7 linked regions of the Callithrix jacchus genome follow. The protein of the gene in region 7 interacts with the protein of the main gene of each other region in a pairwise test. Links are inferred from orthologs where the notes say so. Each region holds a gene or a part of one and is shown on either strand. Other genes may lie near its edges.

What was found.
Region 1: the proteins of KIFC3 (region 7) and CCHCR1 interact in binary tests that used the Homo sapiens proteins (3 or more experiments, as listed by UniProt). The link is inferred for Callithrix jacchus from reciprocal best matches to the Homo sapiens genes KIFC3 and CCHCR1.
Region 2: the proteins of KIFC3 (region 7) and KANSL1 interact in binary tests that used the Homo sapiens proteins (3 or more experiments, as listed by UniProt). The two-hybrid records come from large-scale screens. The link is inferred for Callithrix jacchus from reciprocal best matches to the Homo sapiens genes KIFC3 and KANSL1.
Region 3: the proteins of KIFC3 (region 7) and USP2 interact in binary tests that used the Homo sapiens proteins (3 or more experiments, as listed by UniProt). The two-hybrid records come from large-scale screens. The link is inferred for Callithrix jacchus from reciprocal best matches to the Homo sapiens genes KIFC3 and USP2.
Region 4: the proteins of KIFC3 (region 7) and SOX5 interact in binary tests that used the Homo sapiens proteins (3 or more experiments, as listed by UniProt). The two-hybrid records come from large-scale screens. The link is inferred for Callithrix jacchus from reciprocal best matches to the Homo sapiens genes KIFC3 and SOX5.
Region 5: the proteins of KIFC3 (region 7) and MID2 interact in binary tests that used the Homo sapiens proteins (3 or more experiments, as listed by UniProt). The two-hybrid records come from large-scale screens. The link is inferred for Callithrix jacchus from reciprocal best matches to the Homo sapiens genes KIFC3 and MID2.
Region 6: the proteins of KIFC3 (region 7) and NECAB2 interact in binary tests that used the Homo sapiens proteins (3 or more experiments, as listed by UniProt). The two-hybrid records come from large-scale screens. The link is inferred for Callithrix jacchus from reciprocal best matches to the Homo sapiens genes KIFC3 and NECAB2.

What each region holds. Positions count from the first base shown.
Region 1 is NC_133505.1:35,964,447-35,967,946, forward strand, and holds part of CCHCR1 (coiled-coil alpha-helical rod protein 1), read right to left. Parts: intron 3,355-3,500; coding exon 3,309-3,354; intron 3,145-3,308; coding exon 3,008-3,144; intron 2,916-3,007; coding exon 2,727-2,915; intron 2,630-2,726; coding exon 2,528-2,629; intron 2,438-2,527; coding exon of another isoform or gene 2,334-2,437; exon of another isoform or gene 2,240-2,333; intron 818-2,239; coding exon 666-817; intron 542-665; coding exon 370-541; intron 146-369; coding exon 21-145; 3' UTR 1-20. UniProt on the Homo sapiens protein: May be a regulator of keratinocyte proliferation or differentiation.
Region 2 is NC_133506.1:86,974,678-86,978,877, forward strand, and holds the start of KANSL1 (KAT8 regulatory NSL complex subunit 1), read right to left. Parts: upstream 2,801-4,200; 5' UTR 2,756-2,800; intron 1,210-2,755; 5' UTR 1,072-1,209; intron 1-1,071. UniProt on the Homo sapiens protein: Non-catalytic component of the NSL histone acetyltransferase complex, a multiprotein complex that mediates histone H4 acetylation at 'Lys-5'- and 'Lys-8' (H4K5ac and H4K8ac) at transcription start sites and promotes transcription initiation.
Region 3 is NC_133511.1:19,030,766-19,035,065, forward strand, and holds the start of USP2 (ubiquitin carboxyl-terminal hydrolase 2), read right to left. Parts: upstream 2,801-4,300; 5' UTR 2,618-2,800; exon of another isoform or gene 2,607-2,617; intron 1,978-2,606; exon of another isoform or gene 1,867-1,977; 5' UTR 1,612-1,866; exon of another isoform or gene 1-1,611. UniProt on the Homo sapiens protein: Hydrolase that deubiquitinates polyubiquitinated target proteins such as MDM2, MDM4 and CCND1. Isoform 1 and isoform 4 possess both ubiquitin-specific peptidase and isopeptidase activities.
Region 4 is NC_133510.1:47,292,599-47,296,624, forward strand, and holds the start of SOX5 (transcription factor SOX-5), read left to right. Parts: upstream 1-1,226; 5' UTR 1,227-4,026.
Region 5 is NC_133524.1:104,457,732-104,461,231, reverse strand, and holds part of MID2 (putative E3 ubiquitin-protein ligase MID2), read right to left. Parts: intron 1,744-3,500; coding exon 1,616-1,743; intron 756-1,615; coding exon 522-755; intron 1-521. UniProt on the Homo sapiens protein: E3 ubiquitin ligase that plays a role in microtubule stabilization. Mediates the 'Lys-48'-linked polyubiquitination of LRRK2 to drive its localization to microtubules and its proteasomal degradation in neurons.
Region 6 is NC_133521.1:41,654,596-41,658,095, reverse strand, and holds part of NECAB2 (N-terminal EF-hand calcium-binding protein 2), read right to left. Parts: intron 3,191-3,500; coding exon 3,113-3,190; intron 2,056-3,112; coding exon 1,964-2,055; intron 1,479-1,963; exon of another isoform or gene 1,477-1,478; coding exon of another isoform or gene 1,448-1,476; exon of another isoform or gene 1-1,447. UniProt on the Homo sapiens protein: May act as a signaling scaffold protein that senses intracellular calcium.
Region 7 is NC_133521.1:15,650,106-15,653,605, forward strand, and holds part of KIFC3 (kinesin-like protein KIFC3), read right to left. Parts: intron 2,425-3,500; coding exon 2,243-2,424; intron 1,025-2,242; coding exon 920-1,024; intron 1-919. UniProt on the Homo sapiens protein: Minus-end microtubule-dependent motor protein. Involved in apically targeted transport. Required for zonula adherens maintenance.

The sequences.
Region 1 (3,500 bases), on a different chromosome or scaffold from region 7:
TCCCTCCAGTTCTCAGCTGCTTAGCTGCTCTTCTGGGGATTGGAGCTGGAGCATCTATCGAGGTCATGTCCTTGACAAATAGCTTCCTCTTTGGAAATGGCCTCACTCAGGCCCTGTAGGTCATCGAGTAGGACCGAGAGGGACCCTGGGAAAGAAGATAGGGGATGAGCACCAGAGGAGGAAATAGGGCTGGCACAGGACATAAGGGAAACTAAGAGGGAGGAGGCCATTTGGTCCAAGCAGGGCATGGCTAAGAGGCTAAGAGCCTGGAAGGATCACAGAGAACAACACTCATCATGCAAGAGTCTGGAGTAGAGATTCCTGAAGTGTCCCCATTTATCCCTTGTCCCTTTATGCTTGGGCCAAGACCTTTTATAGACTCCTTGGTGGGCACTGCTGCTGCTACAGGTACAGATGCTGAACACCCTAGAGGCCTGCTGCTGGACACCACAGATTTCTTCTTATCCAGTAGGGAAGGAATAACTGCCAATAGTCGCTGCTGCTTGTAATGGGAGAGGAGACCCTCCTGCTGCAAGGTGGCCTGGGAAGGAGAGGGTTAAATGCCACCTAGCCCGGGTAGAGCCTCCCCCACCATCCTCTTTCTACACCTCTAGCCCGGGAACCAGCCCAGGATGGGCCCTAGTCCCTGTAATCCTGTCTCCTACCAGCATGAGGTTCTTATCCCTCTCTAGCTCCTGCAGGCGCCGGGCCAGTCGCTGCCCCTCCTCCTTCCGGGCCTCTTCCTGCAGACGCCTGAGCTCCTGGCTCCGCTCCTTTTCCTGGGCAGCTTTGCGCTGGATCTGGCGCAAGGAGACCACTGCAGAGAGGTTGGGGCACAGAGGGGGCAGGTGTGAGTCAGCCCAGAGGCAGCCAGGCACCACGAAAACAGGAACGAACACTGGGTCACCAGCTCTGTCTTGGGAAGGCTGTTTTGCTCTGTGGATCTGTCTCTTCTGTACAGTTGGAGGAGTGAGCTGATGCTCCAGGAGCCTGGGAATCTGTGAACCTAAGTACCTTCCTCATCCCTGATCCATCCTGGAGTTCCTCAGGAGAAATCTGAATATAGACTGGGTTAGATTTTGTGCAATTAGTGTTCATTTCTTAAAGTGTGATGATAGCTATATAGGATAATTCACTGGTTTTGGGAGATCCAGCTGAATGACTTATATTTACAGCTTACTTAAAACGTTAAATGATTACACCGGGCACAGTGGCTCACACCTGTAATCCCAGCCCTTTGGGAGGCTGAGGCAGGCGGATCACAAGGTCAGGAGTTCATGACCAACATAACCAACATAGTGAAACCCCGTCTCTACTAAAAATACAAAAAGCCAGGTGTGGTGGTGGGCGCCTGGAATCACAGCTACTCTGGAGGATGAGGGAGGAGAATCGATTGAACCCAGGAGTTTGCAGTGAGCCAAGATTACATTGTACTCCATCCTGAGTGACAGTGCAAGACTCCATCTCAAAACAAAACAAAGAAAAACATTAAATGATTACAACTTACTTTAAGTGATTCAAAAAAGTGTATAAATATGTATATATATATAGGTAAGAGATCAAATGTGGCAAATGTTAACCGCTACAGTTAGAGAAGATATATGAATATTCATCACACAATTCTTTTTTTGACACAGGGTCTTCCTCTATTGCCCAGGCTGGAGTGCAGTGGCACAATCTTGGCTGGCTGCAGCCTCAACTTCCCAGGTTCACATGATCCTCCCGCACCAGCCTCTCAAGTAAGCTGGGACTACAGGTGCCTACCACCATGCCTGGCTAATTTTTGTATTTCTTTTAAGAGATGGGGTCTCACTATGTTGCCCAGGCTGATCTGGAACTCCTGAACTCAAGCAATCCTCCCAACTTGGTCTCCCAAAGTGCTGGTCCCAATTCTTTTAACTTGTTCAGGTGTGAGAAATTTTTGCTAGAGGGTAATTGCTGGTGTTAGACATCTGAAAGGTGGTGTCCTCTGTAAAGAGGTATGACTGGAAGGGGTATGGAAGTGGGGGTCCTAAGCTGATCATATGCTGTTTCTTTTTTTTTTTTTTTTTTGAGACAGAGTTTCGCTCTTGTTACCCAGGCTGGAGTGCAATGGCGCGATCTCGGTTCACTGCAACCCCCGCCTCCTGGGTTCAAGCAATTCTCCTGCCTCAGCCTCCCGAGTAGCTGGGACTATAGGCGCACACCACCATGCCCAGCTAATTTTTGTATTTTTAGTAGAGACGGGGTTTCACCTTGTTGACCAGGATGGTCTTGATCTCTTGACCTCGTGATCCACCCGCCTCGGCCTCCCAAAGTGCTGGGATTACAGGCGTGAGCCACCGCGTCCGGCCTCATATGCTGTTTCTTAATCTGGTGCAGGCTACATGGGTGTGTTTATGATGTGAGAATTCATCTGTGTCATTCCTGGATACCTTCATTACCTCCTGTAATGAAGCTTTGAAAAAACGTTGAGGGGGAAATAATAACCTTATGTCTGAACACTTCCTTCTTCCTGGAAAGCCCTATCCACCCTGGCAAAGCTCACCGGCCTTGGCATGCTCCCTCCGAGCCTCGTTCAGCCTCCTCTCTGTGTCCGAGAGTTGCTCCCGAAGCCGAGTTTCCACTTCAGCCACCTTCTCTTGCAGGGCTGGGGTGAAGGTGAAGATGGGGCGTATCAGCAGGAACTTTGATTTGCAGTTCCCATTCCACCCTCCAAGGGAAGCACCCCTTTCCCCTCTGGACACCTTGCCCATAGAGTTCCTGCTGCTGGGTCAGCTCCTGCCGCAGATTGGCAGCCTCCTTTGTGCTCTCCTGCTGGCCCTGGCGTGCCACGTCCAGCTGTAGTCCCAAGCTAGCCAGGGACTCCTGGGTCTGCTGCAGCTCCTGCTCCAGCTGCTGGGCCACCTTGCTCAGCTGCTGGCGCTCTGCCTCCCCTAAAAGGAGGGGGTGCTGGCTCAGGCCTCTCCTGGCACCCTGGATGCCAGGTCATCCTTCATCCTCTTCACCCCCTGGCAACCAGGTGTACCTTGCTCCCGAGCCCGGCCCACCTCCTGCTGGATGAGGCGGGCGCTCAGCTGCAGTTCTGCATCCAGGCGGTTCCGTTCTTCACGAAGCTGCTGCAACTCAAGGCTCTCGTCTGTGACGGGTGGGGGTAGGGGACAGCTGGGATGGGAACGAGAAAGAGTCAGGAGAAGTCACCCAGCTTCCTGACCCCTAAGCCCCCATCCCGCCTCAGTCCTCATTGTTTTAGGGGTCCCAGCAGCCAATGCCCTAAAGCCCCATCCACCCCACCCTAAAGCCCCATCCTCAAAGTGCACAAACTTCACCTCTCCTGGCGCAACCGAGCAACAGCGAGCTTTCGAGCCATCAGGCCTAGGAGGGAAAAGGCAGGGAGAAACACATGAAGTTTGCATGGGAGAAAGTGGGGGACTGGGGAGTAAGGGAAAAAGAGATGAAAGGACTGGTGAAAAGAAGAAGGTGGATGATATGGGATCAGAGAGCTGGGCCAGGAAGAAGGA
Region 2 (4,200 bases), on a different chromosome or scaffold from region 7:
GCTGAAACATAAATGAAGATGAGAACTCAGTCTACATTACCTAAGATTTCCCACAAGTCCAGATATTTAGGTTACACAGACAACACTATTGTTTTATTTCTCCTCTGCATTAATCTAGAAGTCCACAGAGCAGATTAGCACACAACCATCTTAATGAAGCTAGTACCTAACTCTGAAGAAAGGCAAATCTGGTGGAGGGTTTCCAAGACTCCTTATCCTTCTCTGTCCTTCCTCCCTCCCTACGTCTTTTTTGTTTTTATTTAATTTCATCTTTTAAATGTATTTTTACTCACAAGAAAATCAAAGAAGCCACCTACTTAAGTCTTAAGCTCTGCCCTTTGCTTGTCCTAATCGAGAATTATTTGGCCATCTATGTACAAGAGATTAGACGAGCCAAAGAGACTAGAGAACCACAACATCAATGGGAGCTTTTTCATTTAAAGGTCATCTGTCCACACTGTCCAAATGAGGTTTACCCTGTGAGATAAAACTTGGCGTAAGTGCTACCTGTTAAGAAAAAGTGTGAAATGTTGCACAAAGGGATAGGGTGCAGCAGGAGGACTCTGAAAAGAGTCATACATGTAAACCAGCAGGTCTTAGAAAGCTCTAATATACCACATGAAGTTTCAGAGTAAACAAATGGTTAATGACACAACTTTTGTAACACATGAATCAGCTACTGATTTGCAAGAGTGGGACACACCCAAGTACCTGTGACTCTAAAGTACCTGTTTGAAAAGTGGACCTAGATGTCTGAATTGCCAGCCCATCCTAAGATTAGAACACAATTTCACAACTATGTAGGTTGCCATAATTTAAAGTTAAAAAGATCACAGCCTTTCGTTATAATGGAAGTTAATTTGAGAATGTCATTAAAATGTTCACACCAATTATCAAACAGTAGCAATACAAAGAAAATCAAGAAGCGACAAGTATAGCCAATCAATCCTAGGAAGCAAACACAAGAGGCAAGAGAAATGTCATGTAAAGGCACTGAAGAACAGCAAATTCAAAAATTATATTCCCAATTCGGAATAAAATGAAGCTGGTAATGAAAAAAATACATCTTACCTTAGGAGGCATCCAAATAGCATTCATAGTGTCAGGATATAGTTAAGGCAACACTCAGAAATGAACAAGAAGTCTTAGTAATTCCCTCAAGTCACCAAGTATGAGCAGGTAGGAAAATCTTTTGTTTTGAGAAGGTATCTGAAAGAGAGGACTTTCATTTAGACTAAAAAATAATCAAGAAAATGCAAATAGTTTAAGCTACCTGGGCAGGGATTTTGAAGTACTATTTGCCTCACCATACTAAAAAAGTATACAAAATACAGTCCCCTCTAGAAAAGGGCAAATGTGTTTGTGTCTCTGTATATATGTGTAGAAACATACTTTACATAAAAAGAGAAATAAATATGTAACACATATTTTAGATGATGTAAAATCGTTTATCAATTAGCCCAAATCCTAGAGAGAATAAAGTAATTTCCAGTGTACTTCATAAACACTATTGAAAGGTGATTTGCTAACTAACATCTAAAAAAAAGACCCTTGCAACATTTAATTGTATTTAGTAAAGTAAAATCTCTCTGATCGTCCTGTCTAAGATTATGCTTAAGTTTCAGAGTCAATTCCACATTAAAAGTAAAAGCTATTCTTGACTGAAGTACTAGAAACAAATAATAAGACCCTTCTTCCCCAGAGATCATTAAAAACAAAACCAACAACTTAATTTTGAGGGTGGGAGGAAGGTAAATTTGCCTGGAGGCAGGAGGATGGACTAAATGACCTCCGATAGAATCCCTGTTCAAGTCCTAGGCCTGAATACAATTCCAGCTTAACCAGTTACTACTGCTTCGCTTAAAATGGAGGCTTGCCCGCGTAGGGACAAAAATAACAGCACCCACCTCGTTAAAAATAAATGTCGAAAAGTACCCTTTTTAAAAATAAAAATAAACATAAACATAAAAAATAAACACCCCTCTGGAGTGGATGTGTTCTTGCTATGCGTTTGTCACTTCGGCTTCGAAGACTTGGCATCACTTTCCTTACCGCTCACCGGATTTTAGGGGGGAGGGGGTGGCAGTTTGACTCTTGACCCAAGTCTCAGGCGGGCTTCAGAGCCCCACCGGGGCCCCACCTCCAGAGCCAGCTGGAGCCGAGAGGCGAGAGCCCGAGGTCGCACCTCCCCCCACGGCGGACCCCAGTCCCAAACCTACCTCTCACCTCCCCGCAGCGGGACACCTCCTTCTGCCCCATTCCCATTGTTAGGGACGGGGGAGCGCGAGGTGGGCTCAGGGCAGGAGCGCCCGCGGCCGTTGCCCCGCTCGCTTCAGGAGGGGCGGCCCGCGGGATGCGCTTCCCTTCCTCTCAGCGTCGGTCCGTCCCACCTCGACTCGGCCTGGCGCCCCTAGCTCCGCTCCGCACCCCCGGCCACGGCCCCGGCCCGCCCCCCGGGCAGCCAGGCCCCCGGGCCACTCTGCCTGCAGCCCGCGGCCCAGGCCTACGAATGGGCGCCAGGCGGGGGTCCCCGTGCCCCACACACGCGTCCCCGCTCCCCCAGCCCCGCCGCTTCCAGGGCCCTTGGCGGCGCCCGCTCCCCGGACCCCTCGGCCCCTGGCCTCCCAGCCGGGCCGCTCCCTCGGACTCCCCGGGTCGGGGCCGACTCCTCTGCCTCACCATCACCCCTACCCACTCGTGCCCCCACCCCCAGGGGCACCAGTGCCAACGGCGGCTCCCCCAGCCCCGGACCTACCTGCACGGCTCAACCAAGCCTAGAAGTGGGGGCGGGGAATCTTCCGCCCTCCTCTGGTGCTCATAGGCCCTTCCAGGGCACATCGTGGGCGCCATTGGCTGAAGGGTAGTGTCCGTCAGAGCGATGGGGCGGGACAGAAGGGTGAGAGGGATGCTGGTGCCTTGGCGTCTCTGTCTCTGTGTATCTCTCTGTCTCTGTCTCTGCCTCGGCTCTTGGAAACGAGAGGCTTTTAGATGAGAAGACTGGAAGGGGGCCTGAGGTGGGAGGAATAGTTATCCCGGCAGAGCGTCACGCCAGTCGGCCACTCTGGACCCCCTACCTAAGTCCCCTTTAGGTCCTCTTCTCCATTACCCCCAACCCCTGCCCCTCACCCCTCTAGGTTCCTTCATCCAGGAAGCGACGTGATGAAAACTCCAGGCCGGAAGGCCATAGGGAGAGATGGTATATATGTATATAAAAATACACATATATATACTCAATATATAAACTCAACCAGTTATCAGTTCACTAGGGCCTGGAAAGGAAAGAGCACACGTCTCACAGACAGAGAAGGACTTGAGACAGAGCTGGTAAAAGGAGGAATCAAAAATCACTCTTAAGAGCTGGCAACAGTGGTTACCTCCTGGGAGGGGAACTGAGTGCCTGGGGAACCCATGGAAGGAAAACTTAACATCTCGCGGCATATCCTTTGTATCCATTGATTTCTGTAACATTCATCAAGGTTCCAATTTTAAGAAATTAATCGATTTAAATGTTAAAATATGATCGTAAAACCAGGGGATAGACGAGACAATTGGCCAGGGAAATTGGCGCAACCCTCAGATTTGGGGAGGAACCTTAGTTTTCAATATGTTCAGTTCCAGATAACAGTTCCAGATAAAAGCCAGTGAAGGTGTCCCAGAGGCAACTGAAATTATGGGACTTGAGAGAGGGTAGACAATAGGGACTAAAGAAGATATAGGGTTCTCTGCCTAAAGATAGTGGTCTGGGCCAGGCGCGGTGGCTCAAGCCTGTAATCCCAGCAGTTTGGGAGGCCAAGGCAGATGGAACACGAGCTCAAGAGATCGAGACCATCCTGGTCAACATGGTGAAACTCCGTCTCTACTAAAAATACAAAAAATTAGCTGGGCGTGGTGGCGTGTGCCTGTAATCCCAGCTACTCAGGAGGCTGAGGCAGGAGAATTGCCTGAACCCAGGAGGCAGAGGTTGTGGTCAGCCGAGATTGCGCCATTGCACTCCAGCCCGGGTAACAAGAGCGAAACTCCGTCTCAAAAAAAAAAAAAAAAAAAAAGATAGTGGTCTATTACATGGACATGCTAAAGGATAAAGTCCCATACAAGTGTAATAAGACACCCATAATAAAAGGCAGGAGGGTGAAAAAGAAGGTTAGTGAAGTAAGAGACACAGAATATTGAAGAGACATGAAAATTAAGGGACTTTCTTAA
Region 3 (4,300 bases), on a different chromosome or scaffold from region 7:
TGGGTCCATTTCTCTTTCTCCTGCTCCCAGTAGTTACCCAAGAGCTGGGGGAGAGAAGGAGATAAGATAAAGAGATTAGAGAATAAGGCAAGAATCTTGACTGGTGAAGAAGTGGGTGGGCCCAGGGCAGTCTCCATAGGGTGCACCTTGATTTGGGGTTGTGAGTGAGTGGGCATCTCTACACTTCCAAGACAAGGTAAAGAAATGGGCCTCCAGGAAGTATTGGGATCCTTAAGTTCTCTTTTCCAACCACCTCTGCCCAGGTACTCTTCTGGTGTTCCCTCCCCAGGGGAGAGCCCCAGTCTCCTTCCGTCTCCTCTAGGGCCTCGTCTTTCCTCTGTTCTCAGCCTCTGGGGGGGGCCTTTGGTCTTGGCCCTGATACCCACCAGGCCCAGTGGGGCGGCCTTCACATGCTCTCCCAGATTCACTGATGTCTTTCCTCTCGATAGAGTCCCAGAGAAGCTCAGATACCAAAGAGGCAGCTACTGACCTGTGTCCAGGGGCACTGGATGGGACTTGGGGGCTTCTTCTTCCCCAGCAGGGCAGGGTATGCAGTGGAAAGCCCAGAAGCTGGAGCCTGACTCCAGGCTGGGTAATCCGGAGCTCAGGTTACTGACTCCGATATATATAGTATCTTATCTGACCTCGCAGACTCGCAGAAATGGCAAGTGCAACTCACTTACATTCCAAGCCTGGGAGAATTAAAGGGGCAGTGGCATGCCCACCCTGGAGGGGCTGCCCTTTCGGGCCAGTGCCAGCCAAGGAGGTCTGTGAGGACTCTTGGAAGGGGGGTGTTTTGAAGGGGAACAATCCGGAGATTCAAGAGGAGACAGAGGACTGAGAAGATCGTGGAGGGGTGGGGGTAGAACTTGAGGCAAAAATACAGAGAAAGTGGATTTTCTGGAGCAGTCAGTCACAGAATTAGAGACAGGAAGAAGCCATACCGCTAATCCCACTCTAATTTTGAAACAGAGTAGACCTAGAGAAAGCAAGCAGCTTGCTCAAGGGCATGTACAGATAGTGAGAAGCAGAAAGGGGACTGTACTCAGGTTTCAGTCCAATATCCTTTTCTAATGGACTTCTAGGCCTGGGCTTGGATGCTAGTTCTTTCCTTTATTGGCTCTGAAATAGTGAAGAAGTCACTTACGTTCTCTAAACCTTAGCTATGAATCTGCAAAACAGGAATTTAATAATGGTCTATATTGTGAGGATTAAATAAAATAATATTTGTAAATTTCCTGGCACATCATAAGAGTTCAATAAATGATGATGATGATATTGAATACTTCCACTTATTATTATAATTAATGGTATTATTAGTAATAGTACCTTACCAGGTGAACCTTCCTAGGGAGAAAAGGAAGGTTACATCTGGGGAAGTGTTCCTTTCTAATGCCAGAGAACAGTTCCATGGTTTTCTGAACTGACCATGTCCCATAACTGGGAAGGGCAAACAAGGCTTGCCATCTTCCTAGATGTCCAGTCCACCAAGCAGAGAAAGGCCAAGCCCATTTGGGCTTCTTCCCCCTTTGCCTAGAAAAATACAGCAAGCGCAGCTTCCCCCGGGCCACCAGGAGAATGCCTGGCCCCTCCGGGGTGGTTCCACTCTACCTGTGCGAGGGCTTAGGATTCCAGGGTCACAGAGCCGGGCTGGGTGGGGTCACAAGAGGAAGGAACAGCGTTCTTAGCCTCTCTGGCCTTGGTGCACTTGTCTGCTCTCAGGACGTTTCTCAGTGGCTCTCCCTGAGGACTGGGAGTACCCAGGCTGGTGCCTCCACCCTGTCTTAGCACAGGCTACTGACTCAGCCCAGGTCCTGATGATGCACCTCATTCCAGTCCTCATTCTGACTTCAGTCTGACGTGCATCTGCAGCATCAAAAGAGGGGGGCCTGCCTCGACCTTAGCCCAATCAGCTCTCCTTTCCTCCGCTTTACAGGGGTCCATCTGGGGGATGTTCCCATGTTCGTTCCAGGGGAGGTGAGCAGCACTACTTCCAGCTCAGTCCCATTCTAAAAGCAGCCCGGTCAGGACGTTCACTCTTCAGGGAAGGGCTAGAATGGGTTGGCTAGGGCTTTCCTTGACTGTTAAGAAGTTGCTCTCTTCGGTGCACCGCGTGCCTGCTTCTGGTTTGGGATTGGTGAGAATTTCAAAGCTGCCTCTTTCTGGTTTGGGATTGGTGGAAAATCTTGCCTTCCGCTTAATTGTTGCCCCCCACCAGCCCCCAACCCCCTTTGACGATCTGACAAGCTACAGCCCCGGGAGCTTTAAGAGCAGCGAGTGAGCTGCAAGCACACGTGGGGAGGGGGTTTGTCCGTGTCACTCTCGGGCCACAGACCACCGATATACACAGGGCACAGCAAGGAGGACCCGCCGAGGCAGCATTTCCTTAGAATACACTGATCAGCACACAGATGGCTCTTCCTGGCACCCTGGGTTTCAGCAGGCAGCCCCCACACAATTGGCAGCCACAGCTGGAGCGCCCCTGCACAGCCGACTCTCGCCCTGTATTTCTAGTGCCCATTCTGCCCAGGCTGTCATGGACACCTTACTTTCTGAGCCCCAAACCGGCACTGATCCCCGAATCCTCCCTCCCGGATCCCCGACAGGTGGCACTTACCTGCCTCTTATTGGAGGATGGACGAGTCGAACCGGGCACAAGCATGGAGCTGCTGGTGAGACCCGGCTGGCGCTGGCAAGGCGCAGTGAGCAGCAGCTGACGCAGAGGACTCCCCGGCCTCTGCTCCTGCCTGTCTCTCCCCCACCTCAGCCGGGGGCCCAGAAGGGACCTCCGCGGGAAATCGGCGCCACCCAGCGGACAGCCGCCTCATCATTCCTGAGCCGGCAGAGCCACACCCCGCGTCTCGCGTCACTGAGACGCGTCACGGGTATTGGCTTGTTCCTATTATGGTGTCACTACAACCCGGCCCGGCTGGGGTCTCCCAGGCAACCGATATACACAGAGAACCACGTGGAGGAACAGCACGCGAGTTTGGAGCGGGTGGAGCAGGAACAGAGGTGGACTGGAATGTCACACGACGGGGCAGCTGGAAGCTATTGGGAAAGGAGAGGGGTCATGGAAGAAGGCTCGGAACTTGAGCCGGGGCCTATCAACTTACAGTTTTTAGGGAAGGCTAAACGTCTCCTACTCCCCTTCTCACCGGGCTGGGGGAGGTCCCTTTCCTCAGCCTCTTCTTTTTTTTCTCAACTCTCAAAGATACTCTCCGCTCATTTTACTTCCGCGAGACCAGGAATTAGTGATGAGTGCCTGAATGGGTACACGAAGGCACTGAGTCGATGGAAGGAATTCTCTTTGGTCTTTGAAGAAAAAGCCGAGACAAAATTTGAATTTTTGCCACTCCCATTCATTTTATGTAATTTTATCTCCACTTCCCCGATGTTGATGAGGAAAACCGCCCCACCAGGTAGGTGGGTACAAAGGCAAATCAGGTTTTCAACTTCAGCTATTCCATCAGTCCTTGCGGGTGCCCTTAACTCCTTCCATCTTCACAATAGAGCTCTCTCTCCATCGCTACTCTCCTCAAGTCCTTCCTTCTCTTCTATTTCCCGGAGAAATCAGACTCGATCAGGAGGGGAATACTTAAATTTCTACCTACGAACATGTCTGACTCCATTCTTACCAGGAGCAGTGAAAGAGGCACCCCTATTATTATCCAGGACCATCATTCCCTTCTTGATTTCAACCGTTTTTTTTTTGTTTGAGACAGATTGTCATTCTTGTTGCCTAAGATCCAGGCTGGAGTGCAATGGCGCAATCTCGGCTTACTGCAACCTCCGGGTTCGAGTGATTCTCCTGCCTCAGCCTCCCAAGTAGCTGGGATTACAGGCCCTCACCACCACACCTGGCTAATTTTTGTAATTTTAGTAGAGATGGGTTTTCACCATGTCGGTCAGGCTGATCTTGAACTCCTGACCTCAGGTGATCCACCTGACTTGGCAACCCCAAAGTACTGGGATTACAGGCATGAACCACTGTGCCTAGCCCCAGCTAATTTTTTTGTATTTAGTAGAGACGGGAGACGGAGTTTTACCATGTTATATTTCCTTAGGGCCCTCATTTCATCATTTCATTTTACAGATCGATATTGGACATGCCAGTCACTCTTCTAGAAAGTGGGGATATAGCAGGGAACAAAACAGGAACAATCCCTGCCCTCAGGGAGCTTACATTCTAGTAGAAGCAGGACAATAAATAAGTAGAGTATGTAATACCTTAGATGGTGCTAAGAGCTATGGGGGCACATTAAGCAAGGAGGAGGTGTCTTCAGAGAAGGTAACATTC
Region 4 (4,026 bases), on a different chromosome or scaffold from region 7:
TCCTCTAAATTGTTTTAGTGGTCAGACATTGACTTGTCAAAGGTTGTGCTTAAGCATGTTCAGCCAAGAGGACTTCCATCCTTTGCTGATGGATCAGCGTTCGCATTGAGAAACACATTGAAAAAGTTCGGGTAGTTTATGAAGCTGCCCTGTCTTTTACTTTCTTCACATATAAGACATTACATTCAGGCAAATCTGAGTAGATAACTAGGATTCTCTCCACCACCTTATGCTGATGTTTACAGCCTTCCCAACCCCAGGATATGTGCACGTTTATCACGGCCCACTGTGTCTGGTGCTTTCTTCAGATCTCGCTATAAAATTTCTGACTGTAGGCAGGTCCACTGCTTATCTCCAGTATTGTAATCTCAGGCAAGCTGTGATAGTGCCCTTCTCTGACTGTTGGCCACCTAGGATTGCTATTGTTTTTGACAACAGCTCAGGACATGGGCCTTTCCAAGCTCAGCTCAAAATTGTTTCTTCTCTGTCTGTTAGGAAAGCTGGTATCCCTTACAATTTGCTATGTCCTGGTAGAAATAGAGCAATGAAGAGAATGGGGCTGGTGAATAAGGTAGAAACTAAAGGATGCAATGCCACAGACTCTTACTGTTCTTCTGAAGCTTAATAGATTTTCTCGAATAAATATTTCACCATTTTTTTCTATGCCTTTCATCAATTTTTAGATCTGAAATGGTTGTTTGGGACAGTTATGCAGCTTTATCTTTGCTTTGTGAGAAAATGTGCTGAATTCTCCATGTGGCCATTCAAGAAGGCTCTCCTTCAACATTTTTAATGTGAAATTTGTATGACATAAAATTAGGCATTTTAAAGTGTACAATTCAGAGGCATAGTCATTCACAAGGTTGTACAATCACCACTTCTGTGTGGTTCCAAAACAGTTTAATTACCCCAAAAGAATATCCCATACTTATTAAGCAGTCACTCTTATTTTCTCTTACCATTAGACAGACCCTGGCAACACAAATCTTCTTTTTGCCCTGTGAATATACCTGTTCTTTATATTTCATATAAATAGAATAATACAGAACAGGTAAATTCATAGGACATGCTTACATCACATGCTTCTTTCACTTAGCTTATTGCTTTGGAAGCACATACACGTTGTAACATGTATTAGTAATTCACTTCTTTTCATGGTGAAGTAATAATCCATTGTGCATGTAGGACAGGTTTTATTCATCCACACACTTGCTGATGGATATTGGGGTTATTTTCATCTTCTGTCTCTTATGAATAGTGCTACTATGAAGACTTACATACAGGTATTTTTATTTTTGAGTGCCTATTTTTAGCAGAATTGCTGAGTAATTCTATGTTTAACTTTCTGAGGACCCACCAAACTATTTTCCACGGTACATCTATCATCTTACATTCCCACCAGCAATGTGTAAGTGTTTCAGTTTCTTCACAGGCTCACCAACGTGAATTTTTCTAATTTTTATGATTATAGTTACCCTACTAGGTATAAAACAATATCTCATTGTGGTTTTGGTTTACAGTTTCCCAATGACTAATGTTGAACATCTTTCCCATCTTCAGCTTTTAAGCTGGAATCACATAACAATACAAGGATTAGATTTCAGGTCCCTGGAATTTAAGTGTAGTAGCCTTTCCTCAGTACAACAGTATCTTCTACTACATGTTACATTATGTCATTTGATTTCCTAAATTTTCTTTGTCTTTGTTAAATATACCCACACAGCTGATAATGCAGTTCTATCCTTATTAAATTAAATGAGTCATTCTAACAACCAAAATGAATTGAGAAAATAGTTTTGTCTGTGTATTTATAGACTTATATTCCATAAAGTGAACTGAGATATATCCCAAGGTAAGATGTATTAAAGGAGATTTCACGGTTGAAAACTTCACATTGGTCTTTGTTCCATTAGAGGTTTAACCTGATACTGAAAATGTCCACTTCCGTATCCAGACCTGAAAAACTTTTGTAGGTGAATAATGTGTAACTACTATGAGCCCGGTGTTAGCTTTTGCTATTATTACTATCCTTGTTAATGTGAATTCTAAAATAAAATTGGATCCCTTTTAGGACTCAAATTTTTTTTTTGTTAATTGAGAGAGTCTTGCTCTGTTACCCAGGCCAGGATGCAGTGGCGTGATGATAGTTCACTACAGCCTCCAACTCCTGGTCTCAAACAATCCTCCCACCTTAATCTTTCAAGTAGTGAGGACTACAAACCCCCACTAGTTTTTAAAAGTGTTTTGTAGACACAGTATCATATATAGCTTAGGCTGGTCTCAAAACTTCTGACCTCAGGTGATCCTTCTGATTTTGGCCTCCCATAGTACTGGGATTATAGTCATGAGTCACTGCGCTCATCCCGGTTACTATTTTAATCATTAATGTTAGGAAGGAGACATGAATGGCTGCTTCACAAATTATTTATGAAATGTTAACTTTTTAGTAGTTGGTTTGCTTACAACGTATTAAACAAAAAGCACTTTTTTTCATCAGTATTTACATTCGTAGTCTTTCTTGCTAAATGTCAAATGTATATATTTAAATATCACATCCTCTGTTTCATTTACTATGTGACTAATAAAAACTTAATAGACACGAATTATTGTCAAATTTGCCAAGAAAAGACTCTCACAAATCTTATTAGTTTTTAACATTCTGTTCATTTTGGAGCATACAATGTATCCCCAGCAGGGACTTGCTTGGAAGCACCAGGGACTTCTTGGAAGAAAATATAGTTGGCAGATCTTGGGTCAACCATAATCATCCCTTGCAAAGACTGATTCTGGACATACTGTAGGTAATAGTCATATTTTTATACTGTCAGGATTTATGTCACTCTGTGATCCAACTGTTCTAGCCATTTTGTCTATCAAATTATGGCCATCTACTGAGAGGAACACAGTTAAAAGGAATGGCCTGTGTGTAACACAGATGTGAGAAGTGACCTAACATTTGTAGGGAAGGACAAGTAATTGTATCGCAAGGGAATTATGGGGAATATGTTGAGAAGCGTGTCTGGAGGAAAAAGCGGTGATTAGGTCATCAAGGTCCCTGACTGCCACACTAAGGAATTTAGACATGATTCTGGGGATAATGGGAAGCTGTTGAAGGGTTTATGGAGGTAAGTCCATTATTTTGTGTACCATTTTTCATCTTAAAAAGCTCTCTTGCCAGCAAGAGTGAAACTTGGTCTCAAAAAAAAAAAAAAAAAATGTGAAGATGGACCAGATGAAAATAAGACAGAGACTATGTAAGAGAATAATGCAACTGTGGGGACAGATGCCATAATCTGTTGCTCAGTGTTATGGTCTTAATTTGTCAAGACCTATTTTCCTTCCCTTTTATATTTTCACTCCCTCCTTCTCTCCCATTTCTATCTCTCTCTCTCTCTCTCTTTTTTTTATACAGTCTCACTCTGTTACCCAGCCTGGAGTGCAGTGGTGCAGTCTCGGCTCACTGCAACCTCCACTTTGCAGGTTCAAGCAATTCTCATGCTTCAGCCTCCCAGGTAGCTAGGATTACAGGTGCCTGCCACCACACCTAGCTAATTTTTGTACTTTTAGTAGAAATGAGGTTCCACCATTTTGGCCAGGCTGGTCTCAAACTCCTGACCTCAGGTGATCTACCTGCCTCGCCCTCCCAAAGTGCTGGTATTACAGGCATGAGCCACAGCACCTGCCCCTTTTATTCCTCTTATTTAGAATTATATTGTGGTTAATAATGGCACTATCTCTTTATATACTTGCAAATCAAATTAATGTTCATTTAATAAGACGTTTCCGTTTGTATTTGAATATTTTCTCTTTCTAAAGTTGAGGCATTTCTGATTGTGGTTTAACACGCTGTCTTAGTCTGTTCAAGCTTTGGAACAAACTACCATAGACTAGGTAGTTTGAATAATGGAAATTTATTTCTTACAGTTCTGGAGGCTGGAACTCTGAGATCAGGTACCAGCATGATTGGGTTCTAGTGAGAGTCCTCTTAAGTGTTGCAGACTGCCAGCTTTTTGTATCCTCACACTG
Region 5 (3,500 bases), on a different chromosome or scaffold from region 7:
CTCCAGTTCATCAAAAGATGAAACCATAACATGTGAACTAAACAACAGCTTTGTTAACTTCTTTTATTTTGTGGCCCACTGACATGTTTTCATATTTAGCATAATTCTTGGTGGAAAAGAAGAAGTAAAGGGAAGAGTGACAGAGGCAGGAGGCTTGTCGCCATATTCACTGAGGTACGTTTGGTAAAGGAAAAGTCTTTGATGTATTTTACCATGATAATGAAGTGGCAGAAGAGTCAAGGAGAGAGATGTTCACACACACAGAACCAGCAATGATGGTGGCTTAGCTACCCTGGAACAAGTACCAAGTGGTACTCTCCTTGGGAAAGTGGAATGACATGGATTAATTGAGGAAAGGCTAAGGACTACATAAATGAATGAGAATGGCCCCAATAACTGCCCAGCAAGGAAATATACAACTTGCTTGTTACCCATTGTAAGGTCTTTGTAATGCCCTGGGAAGCTTACACTGTCTATGAAACACTATACTAAACAACCTAACATGTCTTACAAACACTTGCCTCGTGGCGCCCCGGCCAATCTTGAGCAGCTTACTGCTTCCTTACATTTCCTTATCTCTGGCCACAGGCCCCAACTACACCATGACTTACTGATGAAGTTAGCCTGGCCAGTGAATATGGTGTACTGAAGCTCATAGGAGCTGATGCTGAACTCATCATCCGAGATCCAGTGGACTGTAATGGTGTCATGGGAGGCAGTACAGAGTTCTTCTCGGATAGATGGTGGGTTTGGGGCTGTAAGGAAAGGTGGAAAAGAAAGTAAGGAAAGCACAGTCTCTTTTGGAATTTTACAATTGTTACTCTTCCTGCCTAACCCAACATCTCTTGAAGAGGTGGTTTTCTTAACAGAGAAGCTTTAGATTGCATGAACCATGCAACGTGAAGCAAAATGCTGAGACCTCAAGCTCCCTAAAACCACTTTTGCTACAACAACGAAAATATTTTAGGCAAAGCTATAAACCTAAACCTAAATTTTTGTCATGATTGCCCCAGCTGTCTAGTCACCCATATAAATACTTATGTAGACATTAAAGTGATTATATGGTTTTCTTAACATATGGTCTTCAACTTACTGTTATTTTTAATTTCAGAATGAGTTTTATTATATATATATTTTAGACATAAATCTCTCTATATATATATTTTAGATTTAGATTTTATTTATATATATATGTATATATCTTACATTTTTCATATATATATGTATATATATATATATATATGTATATATCTTACATTTTTCTTCCTGATCTGCTAATTCCTGACCTTCCCTAAAACCATTTGGGTTTACTCTCTTAACAAGAAACAATACATTCCTTTTAGATTCATAAGGACAAATCTATCAGCAATTTCTTGTGTTTTACTCTTAAGTATAGATGGTATACCCATTCCGACCCTAGAAATAGTTAACAAATCATAAATCATCTTTCTTTTCGGTTACATGAACTAAAATATGTTTTGTCTGAAATTTTACATGCATCATTTTAAAAATTATAAAACATTTTCATTATATTGTCCTTTTCAAATTATTTTTAAGTAAAAGCATACCAGAAGAAAAAACAATAAATGGGAAGGAAGGCACAGTATTTTCACACCTGTTAAATAATCTAGCCCCTCTAGCAGTTTCTTTTCTCTGGAAAAATCTAAAGCAAAGTTTTCAAAGGCATCATTAAAATTGATGTCTGGAATCAGAACTTGAGAAGATGCAGTTGCCATAGCGACCCTGAAAAAGAGAAAAGTACATCAATATACATCAAAATAGGTTGTAACCTTCACCCAGTGTTTGATTTCTGGTTTAACAAGGTGAAAATAAATGACTTGTAAGACTTGATTTATTAAGTGAAAATATCATATCTGCCTTTCCAATGGAAACCATTTAAATTTTAATCATCAGGAACCAATGAAGAGTTATACCATATTTATTCACATATGTTTACCCCTCAAACACACTCCCCCATCCGGTCTTAATTTTGAGAAGTAAATACAGGATTTTTTCCTCTCTGCATCATTTTCCATCTGGCAAGCAGCATCAAAACTTGACCTTTAAAGGCTTGGTAAGAACAGTTTGAAAGATATTTTTCTTTTTTGTTTATGCTAGTCAGCAAGCCAGCATGCTAGGTTAACACCTTCCCTAAATATATCCTTTATGTGATTTTTTTTTTTGAGAAGGAGTCTTGCTCTGTCACCCAGGCTGGAGTGCAGTGGTGCCATCTCAGCTCAGTACAATCTCCACCTCCCTGACCCCCTTCCAGGTTCAAGCGATTCTCATGTCTCAGCCTCCCTAGCTGGGATTACAGGCACCCGCCAGCAAGCCCAGTTAATTTTTGTATTTTTAGTAGAGGCGGGATTTCGCCATGCTGGTCAGGCTGGTCTCAAACTCCTGACCTCACGTGATCCATCCGCCTCAGCCTCCCAAAGTGCTGGGATTAAAGGCATGAGCCACTGTACCCAGCCTATGTGATCTTCTATAATATTTATATTTCACTTTATTATCCTCCAATTGTATAGTGCTATGATAGTTTTATCTTCCCAACTAATTCTAAGAGTCTCAAGAGCAGGGTTCACATTTTGTACCCCTTAATATCTTCCATAGCCCCAACACAGCGTTTAACACATAGTGAAAGAATAATTGATGAATGAACAATTGAATGACTAAAAACAAAATAACTGCTAACATTTGTTGAGTGCTTAGTATATACAATGCACTGTGCATTCACTTTACATAAATTATCTAATTTATTCTTTACCATAACCCTATGTAGTAGACGTTATTTTCATTTTGCAAATGAGAAAGTTGACACATTGAAATGCTAAGTAACTTGTGCAAGATCACACAACCAGTAAGAGTCAGAAATATAACTGAGCCCATGTCCATCTAATTCTAAATTTTATACCCTTAACCATTTAGACTGTTCATTTCTTCAGAAAATTGAGGTATATTTTCCATACTAAAGCTATTCTTAGCCATTGTTACACATCAGAATTATCTGGAGGAATTTTGCAAAACTCCACACGTTTTAGTTCTGTGCCAGATCTTCTAAATTAGAACCAGTGAAGATCCTTGAACCTGTAAATGATGGTGTGGAAAGAAAAAATTACTTGGCAACAATATGTAGGTTAGAGGAGAGAGAAAAGGTGTTATATGTAGGAAGACCAGAGAGGAAACTTTTATAGTGAACTAGTTGTAAAGGGAATGAGGAACTGAAAAATACATATCCTTATGTACATATACACTACTACACATCTACCAATACATCTCTTGTTTCTGAAATTACAGATGTTTCAGGGATAAACTACAGGCCAAATGAAAGACTAGCTCAATACAATCATTAGGTCTCACATTGAATAGCCAGTCTTCCAGGATTTGGTGAGTAAGGAGACAATAACCTGTAACAGTTAATCCAGAAAATTAGCTCATCAAATTTCTTTCTGGCCTTTCCAATCTTCTTTATTTCCTCTATCCATCTATCCAATATTTAC
Region 6 (3,500 bases), about 26 Mb from region 7:
GACAGTGTTAATAATCACCGTGTCACTGGCCAGCCCTCTGTGCTCCCCCAGGCTTGGGGCAGGAGGTAGAAAGGTACCCCTTCTGGGTCCTGCACCCTGCAGCTCCCACCTGTGTCCCGGGCCTGCAATGCTTGGCTCTGCCTGGTCTTAGGAGGAGACCCACCACTCTCTACTTGCCCTTTGAACTTTTGTGTGTCTTTTTTTCTGAGACAGTCTTGCTCTGTTGCCTAGGGTTAAGTGGCGTGATCTTGGGTCATTGCAGCCTCCGCCTCGCAGGTTCAAGCAATTTTTCTGCCTCAGCTTCCTGCATGGCTGGGACTACAAGCACCTGCCACCATACCTGGCTAATTTTTATGTTTAGTAGAAACGAGGTTTCTCTGTTTTGGTCAGGCTGGTCTCAAACTCCTGACGTCAAGTGGTCTACCCACCTCGGTCTCCCAAAGTGCTGGGATTACAGGCATGAGCCACTGTACCTGGCCGTGTCTAACTTTTCCTGCTAACCAGGCCTGAGAAATAGGAAGAAGTTACAAAGCTTCCAGAATAAGACTGAAGACATTATTTCCAGTTGACAGTCATGGGCTCCTGCTTTGTTGAATGGCTAATGCGTGCAGGGAAGGAGTCACAGGCTCTTAGAGTGTCACGCCATGTGATTTATGGGGGGGCCTTGAGCTAGGAGGTGTTAGCTCTGTGGGTGTCAGCCCTGTCTACGTCACCACAGCCCAGTAAGACGGGGGAACGCATCCCTGCTTGGTGAGCTTCTGTCCCTGTTGAAGCTGGGAGACTTCAGTGCAGCCCCTTCCTTTGCTGGTTTGTGGCTGTCATTCACCCTGTGACAGCTGTGCCCAGTGCTTTGGGTCCTGAGGGTGGTTGTGGTGCCCTGGGAGCTACAGAATAGGAATTAGCCCATTGGTTAAAGTGTCCCTGAGGCTGTGGGTACTTGAAGGTTTCACACGGCCCTACCCCCCACCACTGTCAACCAGGAAACAGACATAGCACACCGCCCTTCCCAACCAGGGTTTATTTGGTGCCTGGGCCCCGTGGTGGCTGCCTGGCTAGGTTGGGTACTACAGGGTCGTGGCTCCTACCAGGTAGAAGAATGGCACTGAAGAGGGCAGCACTGAGTCCTGACCATGAGGACATGAGGAAGGCCGAAGGCAGGGCATGGTGAGCATGGGTCATGCGTGGCTCTTTGAGGGGCGGGGGGAGATCAGGAGGTGGGATGCTGGCTCCAGGAAGCCGCCCCTGTCACTGACCACCTTTTGCTGCAGCAGGACCCTGGCAACATAGGTGCTGCTCTGCCAGCTCAGCTGGGGGGCGGGGGAGGCCTTCCCTTCCCAGCAGGGAAACACCTTTTTGTGGAGGATACATTGGAAAGACAACTTCTGCACCAAAGTTTCTAGTAAACAGGGGATGACCTTTACAAGAAGAAGGGGCCTCTGGGAGGCGGTCAGTCCCGTCCCACTGTACACCAGGCAGCTAGAAGGAGAGAGAGACGGTAGAGCACTGAGCAGCCTCCTAGCTGGTGGTGCTCATCTGGAAGGGCAGGTGCTGGTATGTCTCCCTCCCCAGCTCCCTGGGGAAACATCTGCTTCCCTGGTAGCTGCAAGGCAGAAAAGCCCTTCCTGCGTCTGGCAACTCAGAGCTCTGCTAGGGCTGGCCATGGTGCACGGGTGCTCACTGGTCACCCGGGTGTGAACTACAGTCCCGGGAAGGCACATTCAGTCTGGCTGGACGTGCTCCAGGGGAAGCTCTGGCATCCACAGCTGCTGCAGGTGGGGCCCCTCAGAGCTGTCTGTGACCTGGACGCTGTCCTCCCTCAGGGCTCTCTGCACACCTAGCAGTGACCCACAGGTCCTCCCAGCAGCAAGCAGGGAAGGCTGCAGTCGGCAGGGGCAGCCTCTGGTGCTGTTTCCCGTTCTCTCTACGCAGGTGGCCACAGTGGTTCTAGGCCTTCGTCTCCTACCTGGCACTGAGATCCTGGAGAGGGCCTCGGGCTGGCTTAGCGTGTCCACCTTGACATGCCGGAACGCCTTGCACACGGGGCTCTGCAGGTGCCTGCCACCCAGGGACGCAAGTTAGTCAAGGGGGTCCGGGAGTGGAGCCCGTTGATGCTTGCTGTGCCCAGGAGCAGGACCTTATCCATCATCGTGGGGGGAATCTTTAGACTCAGAGCATTTGTAAGAAGGGAGGCTGAATGTGGGTATCTCTGGGGTAGGTAGGGAGATTTTCTTGCCCCTGTGAGCCTTGCAGGTGCTGCAGGTACCCCGCTCATGAGTGCACAGCGCCCCTCACTCTGACTTTACCCTAGGAGGAGTGGGGCCACCTCTACCCAGGACAGATGACAACATGAAAGCTGGGAAGGGTTTCAGGCCCTCATTTTATGAGTCCCTGAAGTACAGACAGGGAGGAGATGCCCCTGCTCCCACCGGGGTCCTCAATTTGTCAGCAAACCCTGAGTGTTTACCGGGGAAGCAGGTAGCAGGGGCATGAGCTTCTCCCTGATCCCTCTTCCTGCCTGTGAGGTCCAGCATGTGAGAAACAAGTCTATCCAGGGAGGGAACAAGCGGCCCTAGCTGTGTTCTCTGAGCAGCACATAGGACCCCAAAACCCATCAGAGCTGATGACTTCCTCTACCATCCCCCACCCACTGAGCTGGAGGGGAGGTTCATCGCTGGCACTGCAGATCACCTGGGGCCTGGATTACCTTCTGTGTCGAGCCCTCCCTCCACATGGTATTAAATAAGGCAGCCCCAGGGATGGGCAGGGAGGAAATGGGGAGAATCGGGAGGGCGCCTGACCTGGATGGGGCCGGGAATGGGATTTCAACCCTTAGCCCAGCAGTTTTCTCAACACCCCAAGGCAGCAGCTGTGGGGGGGTAGATCCTCAGCTGGGCTCCCTGGGCACCTGCATTTAAAGAGCCCAACTGGGTGCACTGGGGGGTTTTACTATCCCCCCGAGGACTCCTACGTGCAGAGGAGTGAATAGACATGCGTTTGCGTTGGGAGATGCCTTGTGACTCTGCGTGCTGGACTGGGCTGCTTGGCTCCAGGAGAGGGGCCCGGGCAGCCGGCCATCCCCCACCCGGGCTTCCCCATCGCCTGCCACACTCACCTCTTCCACTCTTCCTCCGTCTCCCAGAACTCGTAGACAACAAAGGTAAAGCCGTCTGAGAGCCTCACGGCAGCGATGCTGCAATATGAGACGGGAAAGCCTGTACTTAAGCGTGCCCTCCCCCCCACTGCTCCCTTCCAGGACCCTGAGGACCCCAGACCCAATGGCTGCCTTCAACCTTTCTTCCTCCTCATCGTGACCCTAGAGCCCAGCTCTGAGATGCCCTAAGACTCAGGGGGTTGGGGTCACCAACAAGAGCTTCCAGGATCAGAAGAAAGGGACTTTGCTTTCTTTTCAGCCTGTTGCCCAAGCTGGAGAGCAGGGGCAGGATCCCACTTCAGCCTCAGAGGTAGCTGGGACTCTAGGCCTGGCAAATTCAAAAACTGTC
Region 7 (3,500 bases):
CAGATATGCTTGAGGACAGAAGCTCTGATGTTCCCAGGGGTCACCTCAACACTAAGCAACTCCAAAACAGACCTGGGAGCCCAGGGGGCGCTGCACACACCCCCTTCCTCCTCCCGCCTGGCCTGGCCTACCCCCACTAATGAGTCTCACCAGTCCCAGAATCAAGGGAACAGCAGAGTCCAGATGGGAAATGGAGGGCCGCCATGGCAGGCCCCCACCCAGCAGGCCCACCCAGCCCTTACCCCTGTCTAGAGGCCGGGCACCTGGCCTCCTCCCCACCTGGGGAATCCCACTGCACCCCTCAAGAGCCAGGGCTAGCTTTACACTGCCCTCTAACCACAGTCAAGCACCTTCCTAGTCTCAACACCCCCCTCCCTGGCCGGCCACCTGCTCCACTACACCTCGGAGGGTGCAGGCGACCAGCAGGGAGAGGAAGGTGTGGCCTGGCCCCAGGGGCCGCCAGCAAGAGCTGGGCTCCCCACAACAGCCTTCACATTGCCAGTCTTGCCCTGGGATCTCCTTGAGGACTGAGACCCACCCCTCATCTCAGAGTCCCCAGGCCCGGCCCGAGCCAGCTGTAAAGCAGGAGCATGCAGTGCACACGTAAAATGTAGCCCAGTCGTGAGAGGCAGGTACCCTGCCCTGGTCTCTGTCCCCAGGCCGAGATCCCTGTGATGAAAGTCCCCCCTTGCCTCTCCCCCAGTCCTGCTGGGTGCATCACAGGTGCCTTGGGCAAGGGGGCCCCCCATCTTCAGGCCTGGTGCCTCGGGGCTAACATGGATAATGACAGCCTCTGCTTCTGGGTTGTGAGGACCAAATGAGGCAAAACACACATTGTATAAAACCCCAAGACCAGTGAGGGAGGCTGCATTCCCTTCACACTTCACTGTGAACCCCATCCCGTCGGGCAGGCACCTACCTCCATTGTGTACGTTTTGCCGGCCCCTGTCTGGCCATATGCGAAGATGCAGACGTTGAAACCGTCGATGCAAGAGGTGATCAGGGCCTGCACTTCCTGGAACACCTGGGAGGGTGGTGGGAAGGAGGCTGGGGGACTTCCAGGGCCAGGGGGACCAGGGCCCCCCACCAGCTGCAAGTCCAGCCACCTCCCCAACAATGTTATCCTTCAGCAATACCACAGCATGTGTTACTGCAGTCACTCAGTTCAATGATTCATGACTCATGAGTCATACATTAGACATCAGTGGGCAACTGGGCTGCCCAAAGATAACAGGGAAGAAGACAGGCCAGCTCCTCCTGTTCCCTCTCTCAAAGAGCGCTCAGCACAAGGAAGGCAGAGGCCAGCACATGCCTGGTGCCTCTCTGGCCTGGGCCTGCCTGCCAGCCACCAGAGAATCGGAGCAAAGGTAGAACCAGACATGAGCACAGGAGGGCACAGGCATGGCAGGTTGGCCTGGGCAGATAAGGGAAGAGTGGACGCTGAGAACACATGATTCTTATGCAGCCTGGGGGGTTAGGGGGATCCCTAGGAAGGCGCAGGGGACTGATACAGGAGGGTACTCCTGCATGGAGATGGGCAGGGTCATGAAGATGGGTGGGGCCATGTGGGTGGGCAGTCACAGGCATGAGGGAGAGGGGCTGTGATGCTGGGAGGGGCCTGAAGGTGGGTGAGGCCATATGGTGGGAGGGTGGGAGTGGCACATGGTAGGAGGGGTGAGACAGGCCATGCAGATGGGAGGAGCCACAGCCATGAGGGTGGGATGGGCTGTGATGGTAGGAGGGGCCTTGAGAGTACGTAGGGCCACACAGTAGAAGGGGCCATGTGGATAGGAGGAAACACAGCCATGGTGGTGGGAGGGACTGTGGGTGGAGCCATGTGGTAGAAGGGGGTGTGGATATAGGAGGGGCCACATGGTAGGAGGAGCCACAGCAGAGAGAATGGGATGGCTTATGATAGTGGGAAGGGCCTTGAGGGTAGGTGGGGCCACACAGAGGGTGGGGCCACACAGTGGAAGGGGCCATAGGGATAGGAGGAACCACAGCCATGGGAAGAGTTGGGCTGTGTCTGGAGCTCTCCTTCCTAAGCAGGCTTCCAAGACCTTTGGTCTTAACTTCCCACCCTCTTCTGTCCTCCAGAGGAAGGAGCCAGAACCTGGCTTCCCACTTTGTATTCCTGCACCCCCTACTCTTGCACTTCTTCCTGCCCAGCCCCTCTCCCTCCATGTGAGTCCATCTTTCCCTCCCTCCACTGCTTTCCCGTCCCTCACGGGGCTACACTCACGTCCTGCTGTGAGGCCTGTGGGGAGAAGACCTTGTCCAGCTCGAAGGACACAGGCTTGCCCTTGTGCAGCAGGTGGATAATGGAGTCATCATCGGCATCAAAAGTCACAGCATTGGTGGCCTCGGGTCCTTCCCCGTCCTCTTTGGTGACTGGCCGGACACGAGCAATCACTCGGATGTTCCCTGGGTTGGTTGGGGATAGATGGAGAGATGGGCCCAGGCCGTGTCAAGACCAGTCTCCACTCTGGTCCACTGGTCTGTCCCAGGCAGACTCGTTAGCCTAGGAGTCCCCCAACTTTTAAGCATAGTCCCCTAGGGGAAGGAGGCCCAAAAAGCTGTTATCAGTCACTCACACTATAGTATGAATTCACTTAGTACATTTTCTTCCTGAACAGACCAGGTGACAGGGGTGGCACTCTGCCTTGGGGATGGGGTGGAAAAGTCAGTTGTGGGGCTCAGGCACTGCACCCAGTCAGGGTGAGACACCAGGACAGACACTGTCTTTTTCTCCCTGGACTTCAGTTTCTTAGACAATGAGGGGCTTGGGCCTGAAAGAGCAAAAAGTCTTGTCCTGAATGGCAGGACAGGGCTTGGGAATCAGATGGGCATAGAGGCCTAGGCAGCAGCTGATGACTGGCAGAGTATCTGAGGGCCCAGATAGTGGGGCAGCCACAGGGGTGTCTGGTGGCATGAGCTAGTAATGCCACCATCTACTTCCAGCCTTCGTTGTGTTCCTGGAATGAAGAGGAAACGCCCCCCACCACCAGCATGGTCCACCCGCCCTCCCGCTTCGCCTATCCATTCCAGCTCACAGTCCAGGTCTCAGCTCTAAATTTGCCTTCTCTGGGAAGCCCCTCAACATACATGACTGTCACATACCCAGGAGCCTGTCTCAGCTCTGGAAGTGGGCAGGGTTGGGGTTCCTGACAATTAATCATCATTGTCTATTCTCACACCAAAATGAGCACGGGGAAGCAGTCTGTGGGGCTGTGACCGTAGCCTTGACTGTAGCCTCGGGCTGGAACAGCCCCTGGCTCAGAGCAGGTGCACTAGAGCTCCATGCAGTGAATGGTAGAGTCTCAAGCTTCACCAGGCCCCAGGTCAGAACAAGTAGCATTCCAGCCACTCCTTACCCAGTGCTGCAATACCACACCCCTTGGCCACCCAGGGCCTCGGGAGTCACCTGCTCGGGCATTGGGGCCGGGGCTTCTGAGCTGGACAGACCCAAGTTCAAATCCAAGGCAGAACATTTACTAGCC